Linked DNA regions of Rhinolophus ferrumequinum. The protein of the gene in region 1 purifies or fractionates together with the protein of each later gene. This does not show direct contact. Links are inferred from orthologs where the notes say so. Each region holds a gene or a part of one and is shown on either strand. Other genes may lie near its edges.

The links. The genes of interacting proteins can lie anywhere in the genome.
Region 2: the proteins of TRERF1 (region 1) and DNTTIP1 purify together in Homo sapiens (affinity purification with mass spectrometry; 3 studies listed by BioGRID and IntAct, with this or other methods). This does not show direct contact. The link is inferred for Rhinolophus ferrumequinum from reciprocal best matches to the Homo sapiens genes TRERF1 and DNTTIP1.

Annotation. Positions count from the first base shown.
Region 1 is NC_046286.1:12,048,643-12,055,876, reverse strand, and holds the start of TRERF1 (transcriptional-regulating factor 1), read left to right. Parts: upstream 1-4,164; 5' UTR 4,165-4,271; exon of another isoform or gene 4,272-4,703; intron 4,704-5,061; exon of another isoform or gene 5,062-5,118; 5' UTR 5,119-5,200; intron 5,201-7,234.
Region 2 is NC_046306.1:12,335,071-12,343,162, reverse strand, and holds the start of DNTTIP1 (deoxynucleotidyltransferase terminal-interacting protein 1), read left to right. Parts: upstream 1-4,849; 5' UTR 4,850-4,919; coding exon 4,920-5,024; intron 5,025-5,598; coding exon 5,599-5,669; intron 5,670-6,387; coding exon 6,388-6,484; intron 6,485-8,092. Other genes in the region: WFDC3 (WAP four-disulfide core domain protein 3), read right to left, coding at 1,398-1,544, 2,198-2,329, 2,783-3,013, 4,228-4,369. UniProt on the Homo sapiens protein: Increases DNTT terminal deoxynucleotidyltransferase activity (in vitro). Also acts as a transcriptional regulator, binding to the consensus sequence 5'-GNTGCATG-3' following an AT-tract.

The DNA.
Region 1 (7,234 bases):
AGGCATTTTAAAAAGCATTATTTACATGCATTTGACCTTTACATTAAGCCAATGAAAAATGTATGGTCCCAGTTCAAAGGTGGGTGACCTGGGGCTGAGAGAAGTTAAGAAACCTCTCCAAGATCTCATTGCTGGTGGGGGCCAGACTCAGAATTTGAACTAAGGTCTGCTCAAGTCCAAAGACTCTATTTTATTCCTTCTCCTCAGGCTCCCAGAATTTTTTCTTTGTTGCAGAGAGAGGCAAGTGGTTAAGACAGAGGTTTCGGGCTCAGGTTGGCCTGGATGAAAATTGGAACAAGTTATGTAATCTCTCTGATCCTCCACTTCTGTCTGCATCTGTAAAATAAGAATACTGTAATGATGATGGTTTGGGGCTGATTAAATAGGATAATGCATGTCTCAGCAGTGCTTGGCACATAAAAAGCACTTGATAAATCTTAGTGAATATTATTAGTGCAGAGGAGGAGAAAGAACCATGAAGTGTTTGCTTTTGTCAGTAACTCAGGAAACAATGGTTCACCATTGTTGATACAACCTGTTTGGGACTGAGGCTGAAGGGCTGGGAAGGGTGGGAGTATGGTAATGATTCTGCCTGGATTAGAGAAGGGAGCCCTGGACATAAAGTATTAAGTAGGCACCCAAGGAGTTTTCCTGAGGCCTCACTTGGAAAAACAGTTAAATGCCTCCTGAAGGCTAACCCGGGTTGTCTCCACAGAGGGAAAACCATTGGGTGGCAGTCGGGGCGGGAGAGACTTTTTTTTTTTTTTGACTTTTCAATATTTGAATTTGGAGCTATGTGAATGCATTCAACATGTTCCAAAAAATGAATTGTATTTTAAAAAACCTCTTTTACCAGTGGGGTAAGTGCTGAGAATGGGAAGACTAGAATCTAATGATAATAAAAATAATCCCCTTACAGTTTTTGCAGCCCTGGGAGAGCTTTGGTCATACAGGGCAGGACTTGCACCAGGACTGGGACTATTTATGCCTGACTCTGATCTCAAAGACCCAAGGTAAGTTTTCAATTTCAGTCATCCTCCCTGACACTCATTGAGTCCACAACCACCAGTCAGATTTGGGATTGTTCACCCCTTGGATTGTCTTTAAGCAAATGCATTGTTGAGGTTTGAATCTATTGGCTAAATAAGGTGTCTGTATGGATTGTCTGTGCATTTCCCAGGTTTTTAGGCCATAGATCATTTCTGATACTTAAATCACTTAAGAATCTGGAGACCTTATTTTCTAGAGTCCTTGGGAAGGGAGGGAGCATAAAATCCCACTCACAAATAATCAAGAACTTGCATAAGAACTGTTCTAAGGGCTTTATGTATATTAACTAATTTAAATCTCATACTACTACTAACTGTAGGTATCATTATTCTGATTTTACAGGCAAAGAAACAGAACCAAGTAAGATTAAGTAACTTGCCCAAGAGACTGCAGACTGACCGTTAGGCCATACTACCTCTCGGTTGGCAGCGGGCCAATCACGTAGTGGTCCTTTGACGGTTACACAAGCATCCTTAGCTGTGTAGCAGCAATACTTTGAGTCCCAAATCCCAAATCCTCCCTTCTCTACAGCTTCTGGTTTAGGAGCAGGAAAGACCGGGGTGTGAATTTCCTCATTGACCTCGGGCAATTTACTCACTCCCCCTTAGCTTCAGGTTCCTTATCTGTGCCGGGGAGGAGTTTTATAGATTAAAAGACCTCTCCTCGCAGTACCATGGGTGTGGGTGTGTGCTGGGGGGTGGGAGGTGGAGAGGTTTCTGGGCAGTGCGCTGCTTTTCTCAGGTCTCTTGAGTTAATAGGGTGTTTTGAGGGTCTGTCCTGGCCAATTCCCTACCAGGAGGTCAGGCCCCCAGGCAATGATCGCGCTTTTAGAGCTCGGCAATCACTCCTTCGCTTAGAAAAGGGCTGCCACTGGGGCCAGCTCCGACCACTGCCTGGAGGTCTAGGGTAGGTCTTTTTCCTTGAGGGAGTTAGAGATTATTGTATCCTCAGGAAGGCTTCTTAGAGGTAGTGACAGTTGAGTCCTGAAGGTTTAGCAGGAGTTAGTAAGAAGTGGACAGGGAAGGGTTAGCGTCCCTCACCCCACCCTCCAGCCCCAGAACAAAGAAGCACGACCCGCTTACGGTATAGGAGGAGGAGCTGTGAGGGTGAAGTGGTCCGTAGAGGCGAAATCACAAGGGGGCTTCAGAGCTTGGCTTTATTCTAAGAGAAATTGGGAGGGGTTTGGAAGAATGTAGTCAGGAGTTTTAGAGACTCCTCTAGCCGCTCTTGGGAAGAATGGATCAGGGATAGGAGGCTATCACAGAAAGCAGTCGGGTTGGAAGATGACCGACGACTGAGGAAGGGGGTGGGGGCGAGGACCGAGCATCCGAGCCTTTCTGTCTCCGCGACACTGGGCGCTATCCCTCGATTTTCTCTGCTTATGTGGAAGGGCCCCACAGGGGGCTGGGCGCCGGCCAAATTCTCATTGAGCAAAACAGCCCAGAGCTCGCTCCTCTTTCGGGGGCTCTGGCCCAGGTGCCCCCAAATTGGTAGGGTTATGCGAGAGAACTTACCACTGTTGAAGATGGAGAACCGTTACCCCTCAAAATACACAAAAACCTCGGCCGCTTTTGGCAGCAGACTCCTGGGTCCATGACCTCACGCTTTAAGCTCCCTTATAGCCTTCCCCCGCCCTGTCCACACCCATCGCCGAGTGGGGGTAGGGTGGGGGATAGTGGCGATGGCCTGGGGAGCGGGAGAACCTTATTTATCCTGCGTGAGATTTGAGGGAAGGGGCGCCACGATCTCCCCATTCTGCAAAAAGCATGGTTTAACTTTCCCTTGAGCAAAAAAGACTCGCCGCCGTGGATACCTCGAACCTGGCTCGAGGTGGTCTGCTGAGCTGAACCATCTTTGGTTCACGTTTCCTGGGACCAGGAAAGAAGCCTGGAAATGCTGGGGTCCTGGGCTGAACCGAGAGGCCGAGGCCGCAGAGCCTTCGCGGGACCTGGGGGCTGTCCCGGTCTCGCCCTCCTGGCGCCGCCGAGGTTTGAACCCTGAGCTCGCCTTTCAGCCCGCGCCCTGCCCCCTGCTCGCAGCTGCTCTCGGTTTGGGTGCAGCGGTTTCCCCCGCAGAGGAGGAGGAGACAGAGCGAGGAGCGACTCCCGGCTCGGGTTTCCGCACCAATGCCGAGCGGCCCGGGCGGCCCCCGGCGGCCGTCCCTCCTCCCCGGCACCACGTTCCACAGTCATGGCGCGCGAGGAGGGGCGAGCCCGCGTCGCGGCTGCACCCGCGCCCCCTCCCCTCCGCCGCCCGGCCCGGCCCCTCTCCTAGGCAACCTCCCTCCCCAGCCTACTGCGCCGCGGAGATGGAGACCCCCTCCCCAGAGAGCTGCGTTTCCAGCGCCGCCTGCAGCACCCGCTCCCCGCCCCCACCGGGGCGGAGGGATGGAGCCGCGCGCTTCACGAACCTCCAGCCCCTTCCCGGGAGCCCCGACTCCTCTCCCAGCCCCTCCGAGGCGGGGGTGCAGTGGGGGTAGACGCAGACCGTCTCCCCGCAGCCCATCTAGACCTTGGTATCTTTAGAGCCCTTTTAACAAAATAAGCCAAAAAGCCAAACCCCAGTCGTTAGATTGCAAAGCGCGTTACAATAACCGGGACGGCTACGCAGGAAGCAATCCTGCACTGGTCTGGGTTTAAGGCGGCAGCTTCCCGGCCACGCCGCCTTCTCCTGGGCCTCGATTTTCCGGCTACGCCGGAGAGTCTGCCACACCTCGGGGCTGACAGGTCCCGCGCCCGGCCGCAACTCGGTCCGCGTCCCCCGCCCCATCCTCGTCCAGAGTCTCTCCAGCCTACAAAAGGTGCAACCTCACGCACATGCAGAGCACACAAATAAGGTCGGCGGCGCATCGCCGGGAAGATTGCGAACAATGCGCCGGACGGCCCGCGCCTGCCCGAGCGCGGTGCCCCGGGGGACAGGGGGCGCGGGCGGGGGACGGGGCTGAGGACTCGCCGGCCGCGGCGCTGGACACCTTACTTCCTGCTTCCCCGCCCGCGGCCAGACCCAGCTCTGCGGAGGGATATCTCTCCCCTCCTCTGTCCCCCTCTCTCCCTTCTCCCGCCCTCCCCCCTTTTTTTGCTTCTGCTCCCCCCCCCCCCACTCCGCCTTTCTCCTTTTGCAAGAAAATAATTTGACAGTCGATTTGCTGACAGGGGAGGAATTTGCATCCTGGATTAAAAAAAAAAAAAAGGCCGAGAGGAGCTTGGGAACGGTTGCTAGGGGTGGGTAATGGGTGAAAAAAGGGGGGCGCCGGGGAGCGGATAAGGAGGGTTAAGGGAGGGGGCGAGGCTGGGGAGCAATGCAAAAGGTAAGGCCAGGTTACCGCGGCTCGGCCCCGAGTGGGCTGCGGCCGGGGGAGGGGCGAGAGATACATATGTATTTCTGTCTCCCTAGCACACCCCCTTCCCTCTAAGCGATGGCTGAGAGGCGGTGCATGCAGATGGGGAGTAAGTTTCCTGAAGGGGAGGGTGGATGCACGCGCGCGGCCCCGCGCTGCAAATTTTCACGGGGGAGGGAGAGTGGCTGGATGCGGAGAGTTTGGAGTTGCTTGCGGCGGAGGACAGGAAGGGGAGCAGGGCCGGGAAGGGGGCTGGCGGGCGTTATATCTGGGAGTAAGTTTCCAGGATCAGGAGAGCCTGCACGCTTGCTTGCTAGTAAGTTTCTGGCCGGGGAGGGCGCGTGGGGAGGAGGAGAGGGAGGGGTGCATGTATATAGAAGGGGGGAGGGGGGAGCAGATTTCCTGCGGGGAGGCTGAATGCATATGGAGAGTAGATTTCCTGAAGGGAGGGTGGAGGCGTAGACGGACCGAGTAAGTTTCTTGCTAGGGTGGTGGCGGAGGTGGTGGGTTGGTGCTTTGAAAACCCGGAGCTTCCTACCGGGGGTGGGGGAGCACGCGCTGTTGGAGGGGGGCCAGGGGCCAGGTTCCCTGCTGGGGAGAGGGGCTTACATCTGGGGAGTATGTTTCCTGGCGGAGCGATATTTGTTTACAGGCTGCGGGCAGTACTGTAAGTGAGTAGCGCTTCGAGAAGGCGGCTCTGACATAAATTAATATTGAAATTACTCCATCAGCTTTGCTCGCCCCCCATCGCACCCCCCGAGCGGAGATTGGTCTTGTCGGATTGCCCATGCACTTGTTGCAGAAACAGCCAAGGTAGGCAAGAAGCTTAAGTTTCATTTTTAAAAAAATTAGTTGGGGGATGCTCCGTGAGAAGACGGGGGTGGGGGAGGGGAAGGGATAAAGTGGGGGACAGAGAAGGGAAAGTCTCCCCCCATTTCTTTACTTTGAGTATGTTAGCAGGGCCTTCTCTCTGCTTCCCTTCTTCCCTCTCTGGGCTGCACGGCATCCCAGCAAAGGGGGAGGGGTGAGGTGGGCGCTATAATTGGCAGCCCCGGCCTAAAGGGTGGTGGTGGGGCTTGCAATTGAAGGTTGTGATGTTATAAAGCCTTCATTCTTCCAGCCAAGAAACCGCAGGACCCTAGGGATGTGCCTTTTGGGGTTTTTGACATGATGCATGTGTGTATGTATATGCGCCTGTGGGCTCTGTGGGGGCTGGGTACCCCCCAGAAGTTAAAGTGGCCACCTAGATGGGAGAAATGTGTGAGGGGTAAACCTGCCCCTCAACTCCCCAAACTTCAATTTGGGAGACTGGGAAGTTGCTGCTGCTGGTCTGAAGAAATAGATATTAGAAAACAACACAAAACCACCCATTCACTGGCGGAGGCCGAGAGCACCTGGCCGGCAACCTCTGGTCAGCCCTGGGCTGCATGTGCGCCTGCCATCCTTAGGTTAAAAGAAAATGACTTCTGGTTCCTCCGTGTGCCTTCGACTGGCCGGTTAGAGCCAGCTTTGTGGAAACTCTTCCCAGCTAGACGCGGCTTTGGTAAGTGAACGTGCTGAAGCCGGTTGCTGACAGCATGGCCTGGGTTGTCTTGTGAAGTGCATGGAAGTGATGCTTAGGAACGAGGGATCCAGGGATGGCTGAAGAGTTCTTTAAAAAATGCCTCCCGAAAGCCGGCTAGATGCACTTTTTAGCAGACCGTGGAGAAGAGCTTTCAGAAAGGAGTTTGTAGTTGTCCTAGTTGGTACCAACCTCCTGCATCATTAACTGTTTCAAGACAGCAGCCTGGTGAGGGAGGATGTGGTTTTGATGCCCACTGGAATTATAGCAAGCCAGAGTACTCAGCAGTTAACTAGTTAAACAGCAGTCTTTGCTTCTGCTTGCCTCTGTGTCCCTGGTTCTCAGCCTACTGGTTTCTGCAGATGGGTTGTAGTTCTGTCAGGTACCTGGATGATGCTGGGAGTTTGAGCTTGCCAGGGTAATGTTAGCAGCAAGAGGTACAAACCCAGGCATGTTTAGTAGGGTCAGGGTAAACTCTAGACAGTGCGGTTAACGAAAAGTTGGTTAAGCTTTCTGTTGTTCTGTAACCAGACTCAGTAATAGCAGGGGGGAAAAAAGCTCTCTACATGTTACTGATGGACAGACAGACTGTTTTCCTTTCTTTCCTGCCATCAGATTTCCAGACTGAGAATTTGATATTGGCAGCTTGACAGTTGAGTTTGTTGGAAATTAAATATTATTGCCATTTATCAAATGTTCCTAACTAAGCATTAGTTAAACAAATTAGCTATTATTTTTACCCTGCTGAAAATCGGAGTCTGGTTGGTGTGTGTGCTGGAAGGGTAAACATGATCTTTATGTGTGTTTATCCCAGGATCGTGGAATTATTGTCATGCCTACCCTCGAAGCCAAGAACAGCCCTTCAGTGGTTTTTCCTTATATTTATGAGATTTATTTTATTGTCTTGCTTTGGCCATTAATCAATTGACAGTAGCTTTTTTCCCGCCTCTTCTGCTGGGGATGTTCTTGTGGTAATAAAGGCCCATGAATCATAATTCATCCTTTTTTAAAATATTGCGGTGATTTTTCAGGATTTGATTTATAGGAATTGATACCGGGAGTGACACACCTCTTTGGGCCCCACCCTTTTAGGCATGTCCATTTTTGCTGAAGGATTGTTTAGAAGCCAGCTTGACATCTCAAAAAAGAGCATGTCCTTTCTGCTTTATAGGCACTGAGAAGATTAATTTTTACAGGTTCCATAGTAAACATGGGGCTTTTCACAGCTTTGTAATCAGGCTTTCACGTAGAGGCATGTGTTAATATCACATAGCGTTTCTGTGAAC
Region 2 (8,092 bases), on another chromosome or scaffold:
TGGAAGACATAACGGAAGACCCCATTTGAGATAGCAAAGAAGGTAATTAAATAACCTAGGCATTAACTTATCAAGAAATACTTTAAAACTAGAAAACACCCTGAAATACACCAAATACACTTGAACAATGGGACGACATAAAGATTCAACATTACAAAAATGTCAATGCTCCCTAAGTTAATTTTTACATCGAACACCTCTTTAATAAAAGTAGTCTTCATATTTTGGAGGGAGAAGGGAATAGACAATATGATAATAAAATATATTTGGAAGCACAGCAAGCAAAAGTAGCCATGAAAATCCTGAAACACGAGAGAAATGAGAAGGGGCTAGTCACAGGAGACAAATCAGAATTTCTAATGCCTTTTGGGGGCCTCTCAAGGAAATGGGGCAGGAGGCAAGGACTAGAGCAGACAGCTCTGTCACTTCTACCTTCCAATTCTCTCAACCATGTCACCTTTTCTCTATCCCCACTGTCACCTCCCTATTCTAACGGACTCTGTCCTCACCTGGAGTCATTCTCTCTCTGCCTGTCTCTACTCCAACCACACCAGCTTTCTTTCAGTTCCTTAAGCGTGGCAAGTTCCTTCTCAGCTTGCTTCTCTCTTCCTGGAATGTGTATCACATCTTCACCTGGCTAACTTCAACTCCAGGTCACAGGTTAAATGTCACTATCTCACACAGGCCTTCCTTGACCACCCCATGTAAAGTGAGTCCCGCGTTATTCTATCTCTCAGCACCCTTTAATTTTCCTCCATGTCCTGGTTACGGTTTGAAATTATATATTTACTTGCATACTTATTTGTTAAGCCTCTTTCTCCCCCGTCCCCTAGTCTATGAGCCCCATGAAGGCAGGGACTGGATCTGCTTTGCTCACCACATTATACCCAGAACCCACCACTGGATCAATAAATATTTCTTAAAGGAATGATGCAGAAATGGAGAACTAGGTCATGAGGATCCTGCAAGAGGGAGAAGAAATCCCTTTCAAACACCTCTCTATCAGCATCAGAATAAAATCGAACCCGTTTCCAACAGGCGATGGCTATCCTGTGTGTGGACAGAGGAGACAGAGTCTCAGAAGCAAGTGAGTGGGGAAATGTGTGCAGTCCTGCATAGGTATCAACTGGAAACTACCCAACAGCTTTTAAATCTGCCCCAGAACAAGAGATGCCAAGATTTCCCTTCTGGCATCCTCCTTTGCCTGCCTCGAACACATACCACCACCCATCATGGCCTGGGTACCCTTTGTATATCTTTTCTTAGAAAAGGTCTAGAATAGAGGAGGCACTTATTGTTTTTCAGAGTACAGTACAACCAACCACAAAATGGTATGTGCATATTTGAGACAAATAAGGGGGCCAAGCCGACCGTGGGGCCCGGGCGGAGCTTCTTACCCAGCTTTGGTTTGGAGATTGGAACTACACAGCTCTTGTCACAGCCAAACGGGCAGCATTTCTTTACGCCTGGACATGTCTCATCAGTGACGCACCTTTTAAAACAGGATTGTTTCCGAACAACCTTGGGACAATCTCCCTTCCTCCCTGTAGCGAAACAGGAGACAGCCACAAAAAAAGAGATAATGGTGCCCAGTGACACCCACAGGCACAGCAGATGGGAAAATGGGAAAATCAGAGGAAGGAAGCCCCAACTTCATTTAGGACTCTCCGCCCTGGTGCTAAAGAGAGACAATGACGACCGCAAGGAAAACAGCTCACGTTTACTGTAACGCTTACTACGCTTACATTGTGCCAGGGAACCTCATTAGGTCCTTGCAACAATTCTATGAGGCACAAACAATTATCCCCGTTTTACAGATGAGGAAATTGACTGCTTAAAAACTTAACACTTAAAAAGAGCTATGTAAGGCTTATGTAAGGCTTAAGAAGGTCTGCCTGGCTCAAGGGTACTCCTTTCATCACTATCTTAAACAGGCTTCCCTTCATAACTCTGCCCTCCAGCCTTCCCAGGAACGCTGAGTTCAAAGTAAAAGACAGAGATAATCAGTCCTGTGCTTTTTCCTGACAAAAGGCAAAGACCTGGGGATACTGAGTGATTAAAGCAGAAGAGACCCCAAAAGCAGAAAGAAGAGGTGCTCTAGGCAAGCTAGATTTCTAGAGCCAATCTAGAATATAGGAAGCCCTCTGGGTCTTCCTTTAGAAAGCACACTTGGGTTTTGCCCCTCATGCCTACGTACCCTTAGGAATGTCTCCTTGGCAGACTCGACCACAGCCTGTGCAGCAGCACTTCTGTCCAGCTGGACACGATTCATCCCCCTGGCACAGATCTTTGCACGGGTTCTTATCAGGAGGGCATTCTCCTTCTTTCACTGCAAAGGATATCACACAAGGTTAGGATAACTGGCCAGGCCTCAAGAAATGGGGAATGGAAGCCAAATGTACTTCAAGGACTTTCAGCCTCTCCAAGCACTCCTATCTAAACACTTCCCCCTCCTATGCAAGCACACACACACACACACACACACACACACACACACACCTACTAAAGAACCAGCCATTCTGCAGATGGAAAGGTTGGGGTGATCCTATTCTTTCTTAAGGAACCCTAGGAGAAAGGCAGACTGGCAATACTATCTTCTTGGCCAGGGAAGGTAAAAAAAGCCAGGAAGACCCACCCTGGCTGTCCCAAGACTCTGCATCCAGTCCCATCCTGCAGAGATGGCCATCTCCACGAATGAGGCCCCTCACTGTGGGGAGGCAGGGAATGACTTCTCTAGTCACGCCCTGTTCCTGTTAGCCAGGGATCCCAAATGATAGCTCACCATGCTCTCCTGCAGTCACCCAGGGTGTCAGGGACCCAAGAGCAAGAAGTGCATTCAGGAGGAAGAGGCAGCTCATGATGATCATGCTGAGTGCCGAGAGGAGAGCTCGGTCCAGGCCGGGGGTGTGCCCCTTGCCCGGAGTATCAACCGAGGGAAGGCAGGACCGGGAGACCAGCTTCCGCCCAGCCCCGAAGTCTTCCCTTTCGCAACAGTCCCCAAGGATGGCTGCTCCTGACAAGAAGAAAAATGATTGGTTGCTGGTGTGTGGGAAGATTCCTGGCACTACCAAAGGGCACATGTGATGATGGTGATCAAACTCTGTCATGCAATATATGCAACACCCGTGGACACTGATGAAGACCCTGGGAAAATACAGGGATGGCCATTGAACAAAGGATCAAAGAGAGAGTGAAAGGGCCTTGGAAGGACACGACTACCGCTGCAATGACAGAGGGAAGGACCAGAGAGTTAACAAGAAAATAACCACAGCTAATAAGATGTACTGTGACTTCTCCTATCACCCTAGCAAACTAGAAAACAGAGAATGGGACAGACTACTTAGAAACTATCAAAAGGCTACAGAAAAGCCATATTTGAGTTAAATGTTCAGAACTAATACAAATGCACAAAAAACCCTGTATCTTGGTCTCTCTGGTCCACATAGACCACTCTTGGACCATGTGAAGGCTAGTTGACAGAACCCCAAAGAACAATTGTTATGACTTTTGTAGTGTAAACCATGTATGTATATTCCTTTTATCTCCTCTTGCTCTATTTCTTTTTATTTTTCTCTAACTGCTTATGACTTTAGTCAATCATGATATCGAATAGTGTTCACTGCACCGCTTAGCCCAGTGATGTTAAAGGGCAGGGAATATTCAAGGCTCAAGGTAAAAACCTTCTCAATAGCGCCAAAGAGTTCTGTGCCAGGAAGTCGCCTTACTGTTTTAAGACAGATATTGGAGCATGGAGATGATTAACTTTTGTTGATGACCTAATATGTGCTTTGCATACATTATTTATTTTAATCCTCACAATAATCGTGCAGAGGTAAGAAAAGTGGTTCAGAGGGGCTGAGAAAAATTGCCCAAGGTCATAAGTGGTGGCAAGTGGTGGCTGCTGGAATCTAATAACAGTAACAACAGATAGCATTGTTTGAGGGTTTACTTGTGCCATAGTTCTAAGTGCTTTACATGAATTATCCCCATTCTACAGATAGGGAGATTGAGGCACCGAAAGAAACGTTAGTCACAACTAGTAAGTGGTAGAACAAAGGTAGGCAGTCCAATTCCATAGTTCTTAATCATCACATCACACTGAATTTGAACTCAGATCTTTCTAACTGCAAAACTCATGCACTTTCTACTACCCTATATTGTGACCTGGGAAAAGTAATTTTCTCTACCACCGATATATCGCTCAAATTTTATTCAGGGTCGTCTTACCTAAAGGAGAGCTAAGGGGAGCCCCGGGAAACTTCACAGCTGTTAAACCCTTGCTACCCCGGCCCATCCTAGAATCACCACCAGTCTGGGTAGAGAAGCCCAGCTCCCTGGGGCTCGGGGAATCCATGGTCCAAGTCTTCATTCTGATGTCTTCAGATGCAAGAGGCAGCCCCTAGGGTCCAGGCTTGGAGAGACCTGGTGGGTGAGTGCTAGGAGTAGCATGGGCCAAACCTCCTCCTGCTATCGGGTTTCCGGGACCCCGCATTAAGCCCACTCCAGTTCCGGAGGCTAAATACGCAGCACATTAAAATCTACCGTTTTCAAAGACTGAACTGCAGGCGCCGCTGTACAAAAAACGCTCCCCTCCGCTCTCCAACCCCAGACCATTGAAACCTGCTCCCCTTCGTCTGCCTGGCACTTCTCCAGCCCGAGAACAATCCTTGAATGATCATCCCCAGTCCACACCTGCGACGCGGCCCCTCCCTGGAGGAAGCCCCGACCACCCACACACACACATAAGGCCTCTAAGCATCAGGGTGTTTGGCAACACGCGGCCGTTTGGTTGCCATGGTAACCGCGCAGCTCGCCTCGTCGTGCTTCCGGGTCCGCGGCCGACGCGCTCCAGTGACGTCACACAGCCACTTTCCGGCCGGTGGCAGAGTCGGGCTGAAGTTGTAAGGGTCAGGGACGCCATGGGGGCCACTGGCGACGCCGAGCAGCCGCGGGGACCTGGCGGGGCAGAGCGGGGCGGCCCCGAGCGGGGAGACGCGGGCGCAGCGGGTCAGCTGGTTCTCACGGTGAGGGCGCCCCTGGAGAGGCCGGGCCGGGCCTGGGCTCGGGCCGGCTGGGCCTCGGGCTCCCAGGACCCCGGCCCGCGGACGAGAGAACGCGGCAGCCGGCGCTGCCGAGAGGGTTGGCGTTTTCACAATCCGAAGACCTGGATTCAAATTCTAGGTGCCGCCCTCCTAGTTAGGTGACGTGGGCCAGTCCTGTCAAGTTCCTGAACCCCAGTTCTTATGCTGTAAAACAGAGATTAGTACCTGCCTCATAAGGTTGTTGGGATGGGTTATAAATGCAGGTAAAGCGCCCAGCGCATCATCTGTCCCAGAGTAGGCCCTCGGTGAACACTGGTTCCCTTCTTCTAGCCGTTCCTGAAAAGGTGGAGTCGGGATTTTTGAGGCAGGAAACTTTCCCTGAGTTTCTCTTCCCCTGCAGGGGCTTCCAACCACGGCCCTTCCCCAGACCCCAAGGTGGGAGAGGTGGTGAAAGCACCTGAGAAGCAGGGCTGTCTAGGTTTAACTGCATACCCACCGTCCACCTCCACCCCAGTGTCACAGACCTCGGTGACATCTGCTCCCTTGGTCCCCACAGAACCCTTGGAACATAATGATAAAGCACCGGCAGGTGCAGCGAAGGGGCCGCCGCTCACAGATGACAACAAGGTAAGCCTGACCCTGGGTGGGACTTACCTCCCAGGCACTGGCTGGAAAGGCAGCTTGGGGGATCCCCGTTGCACGGGGCTGAGAAGAAATCATCAGCCAATAGAAAGAGCACTGGACTAGGAAAGAGGAGACTCAGATTCTGTAACTCTGTGTGACCTTGAGCAAGTCACTTCCCCCTCTGAACTCATGTACCAAATGAGGGGGGATAGGTGAATTAAACAACCCCTAAGATCCTAACACTTGTGACTGTGTTCGAGGGCTCTAAAAAGACAGGGTAGCATGGAAGTTAAGAAAAAAGTGTGGCCAGTAGTATCCACAGGGTACTATTATCCTGTGGTAATAGGGTCATAATGAATAATAAATAATAAAATAATAATCATCATCAAATAATAAAAAGGAAAGGAGAGCACGAGATGGGCCTTTGAGATGCTGATTATATTTCTTGAACTGAGTAGTGATTAAATGGATATTCACGAAAACAATTTGTAATAGAATTTTCTGTATAAGTGTTATACTTCACAAAACATGTTAAAAATAGTACCCATTTCACAGAGTTAGGAGAATGAAATAAAGTCATTCATCTCTGCTTTACACAACCTGGGCACATAGCTAGTTATCTAAAAATAAAAAGCTGTATATTATTGTCATTAAAGGCTGGGCAGACTAGGAAAGGACATATTTGGGCCATGTCGCCTGACTGTCTCCCTCCTGAATGCAGTTTCACAGATCCTGCCATCTCCATGGATCTCCTCCGAGCTGTCCTGCAGCCTAGCATCAATGAGGAGATCCAGACTGTCTTCAACAAGTACATGAAGGTGAGAGGGACACAAAGAGAAAACATTAACAGGGAAAAAGATTCATGGGCCATCCTTGACTGCATCGCAATCTCCCTGGCTTACTCGAGTACACACAGATTTCTAAAGTTTTCCAATTCTCAACCCCCAAGAACTTATTTCCCTCTGTGGGGGTAATTTGAATACCTCTTTTGCGAAGCCATTGTGAGGATGAAATGCTCAGATCTGCGCTTGGAAAATAACAAATGTTTTTATTACCTATTTAGTAATGTCACCATTGTTATTACTTAAAATTATTTTCTAGCACTATAAACTTCTACGTGGTTCTACCTCAATGCTCCATGGATACTTCAAACCCAGAATATTCTGAACTGAACTCTTCATTTTTCTTCCTAAACCTCCTCCTCTTGTGTTTGTTCATTCATTCAAGAAGTATCTACTGAGCGCCTCCCATAATGGCAGGCACTCTTCTAGGCCGTGGGACGTAACAGTGAACAAACGGACAATGTCTTTGTCCTCTTTAAACAAACATGTACTTTGTTAGGGAATGCCAGAGAGAAGGGGAAGAGAGTGCCCAGTGGGGAGCAAGGGGAGTGATTTTGATAGATTGTGGCTGGCACAGCCCTCTGAGAAGAGGACATTTGAGCAGAGACCTGAATAAAGTGAAGAAAAGAAGCTGTGCAGATATTTATTTGGGGCAAGAGCAGTCCCGGAAGAGGAACAAGGGCAAAGGCCCTGAGGCAGGAGTGTCCTTGGCACATTCAAAGCAACCAGGTAGCCAGTGTGGCTGGAGTGGACTGGGCCAGAGGAGAGTAGGGGGAGAGGTGATCAGAGACAGAACGAGCCTGGCTCGTGCAGAACCTTTGAAGCCACGGGAAGGACTTCAGGTTTTATTACGAGTAAAATAGCAGCTCTTGGAGAGTTTTGAGCAGAGTACATGATCTGAACCTTCTTAAAGAGTCACTCTGACCGTTGTATAGAGAATAGACTATAGGAGGACCAGTTAGGAGGCTTGAGATGACAGTGGCTTGGGTGTTAGCGGTGAAGATGTTGGGAGTCAGATTCTGTACTTTAAAGGTAGCAACAGGAGTTGCCGATAATTGGGATGTGCAAGGTGAAAGAAAAAGAAGTAAATGGCTCCCAACTCATTTGCCCTGGGCAGCTAAGAAATAGAGTTGCCGTTGACTTGCCATGAGGAAGAGGGGAAATCAGTTTTGGATGTGTTACGTTCGAATGGGACCACCATCCACTGAGAAACCAGAAACTAAGTGCGCTGCCCTGTCCTTCCTCTTCTTACCCGTTTGTGGAGTCCTGTAGTTTCCACCACATGATGGTCAGGCGGCCCGTCTTCCTTGCTTGGCTCGGTTCAGTATTTCATTTCTCACCTAGGCTCCTACTATAATCCCTGACTGCCTGTCTTCTTTCCTTCTCTCAACCTGCCTTCCATACAGCTGCCAGTGATCCCTAAAACGCAAATCTAATGGTGTCATTCCACTGTTTAAAATACCGCAATGACTTTCCATTGTCTTCTGAGTAAAATCCAAATTCCTTAACACGGCATATATGGCTCACTGTGATCAGACCCTAGCCACATACCTCTTTATACCCTGTTCTTACTATCCCTAATTC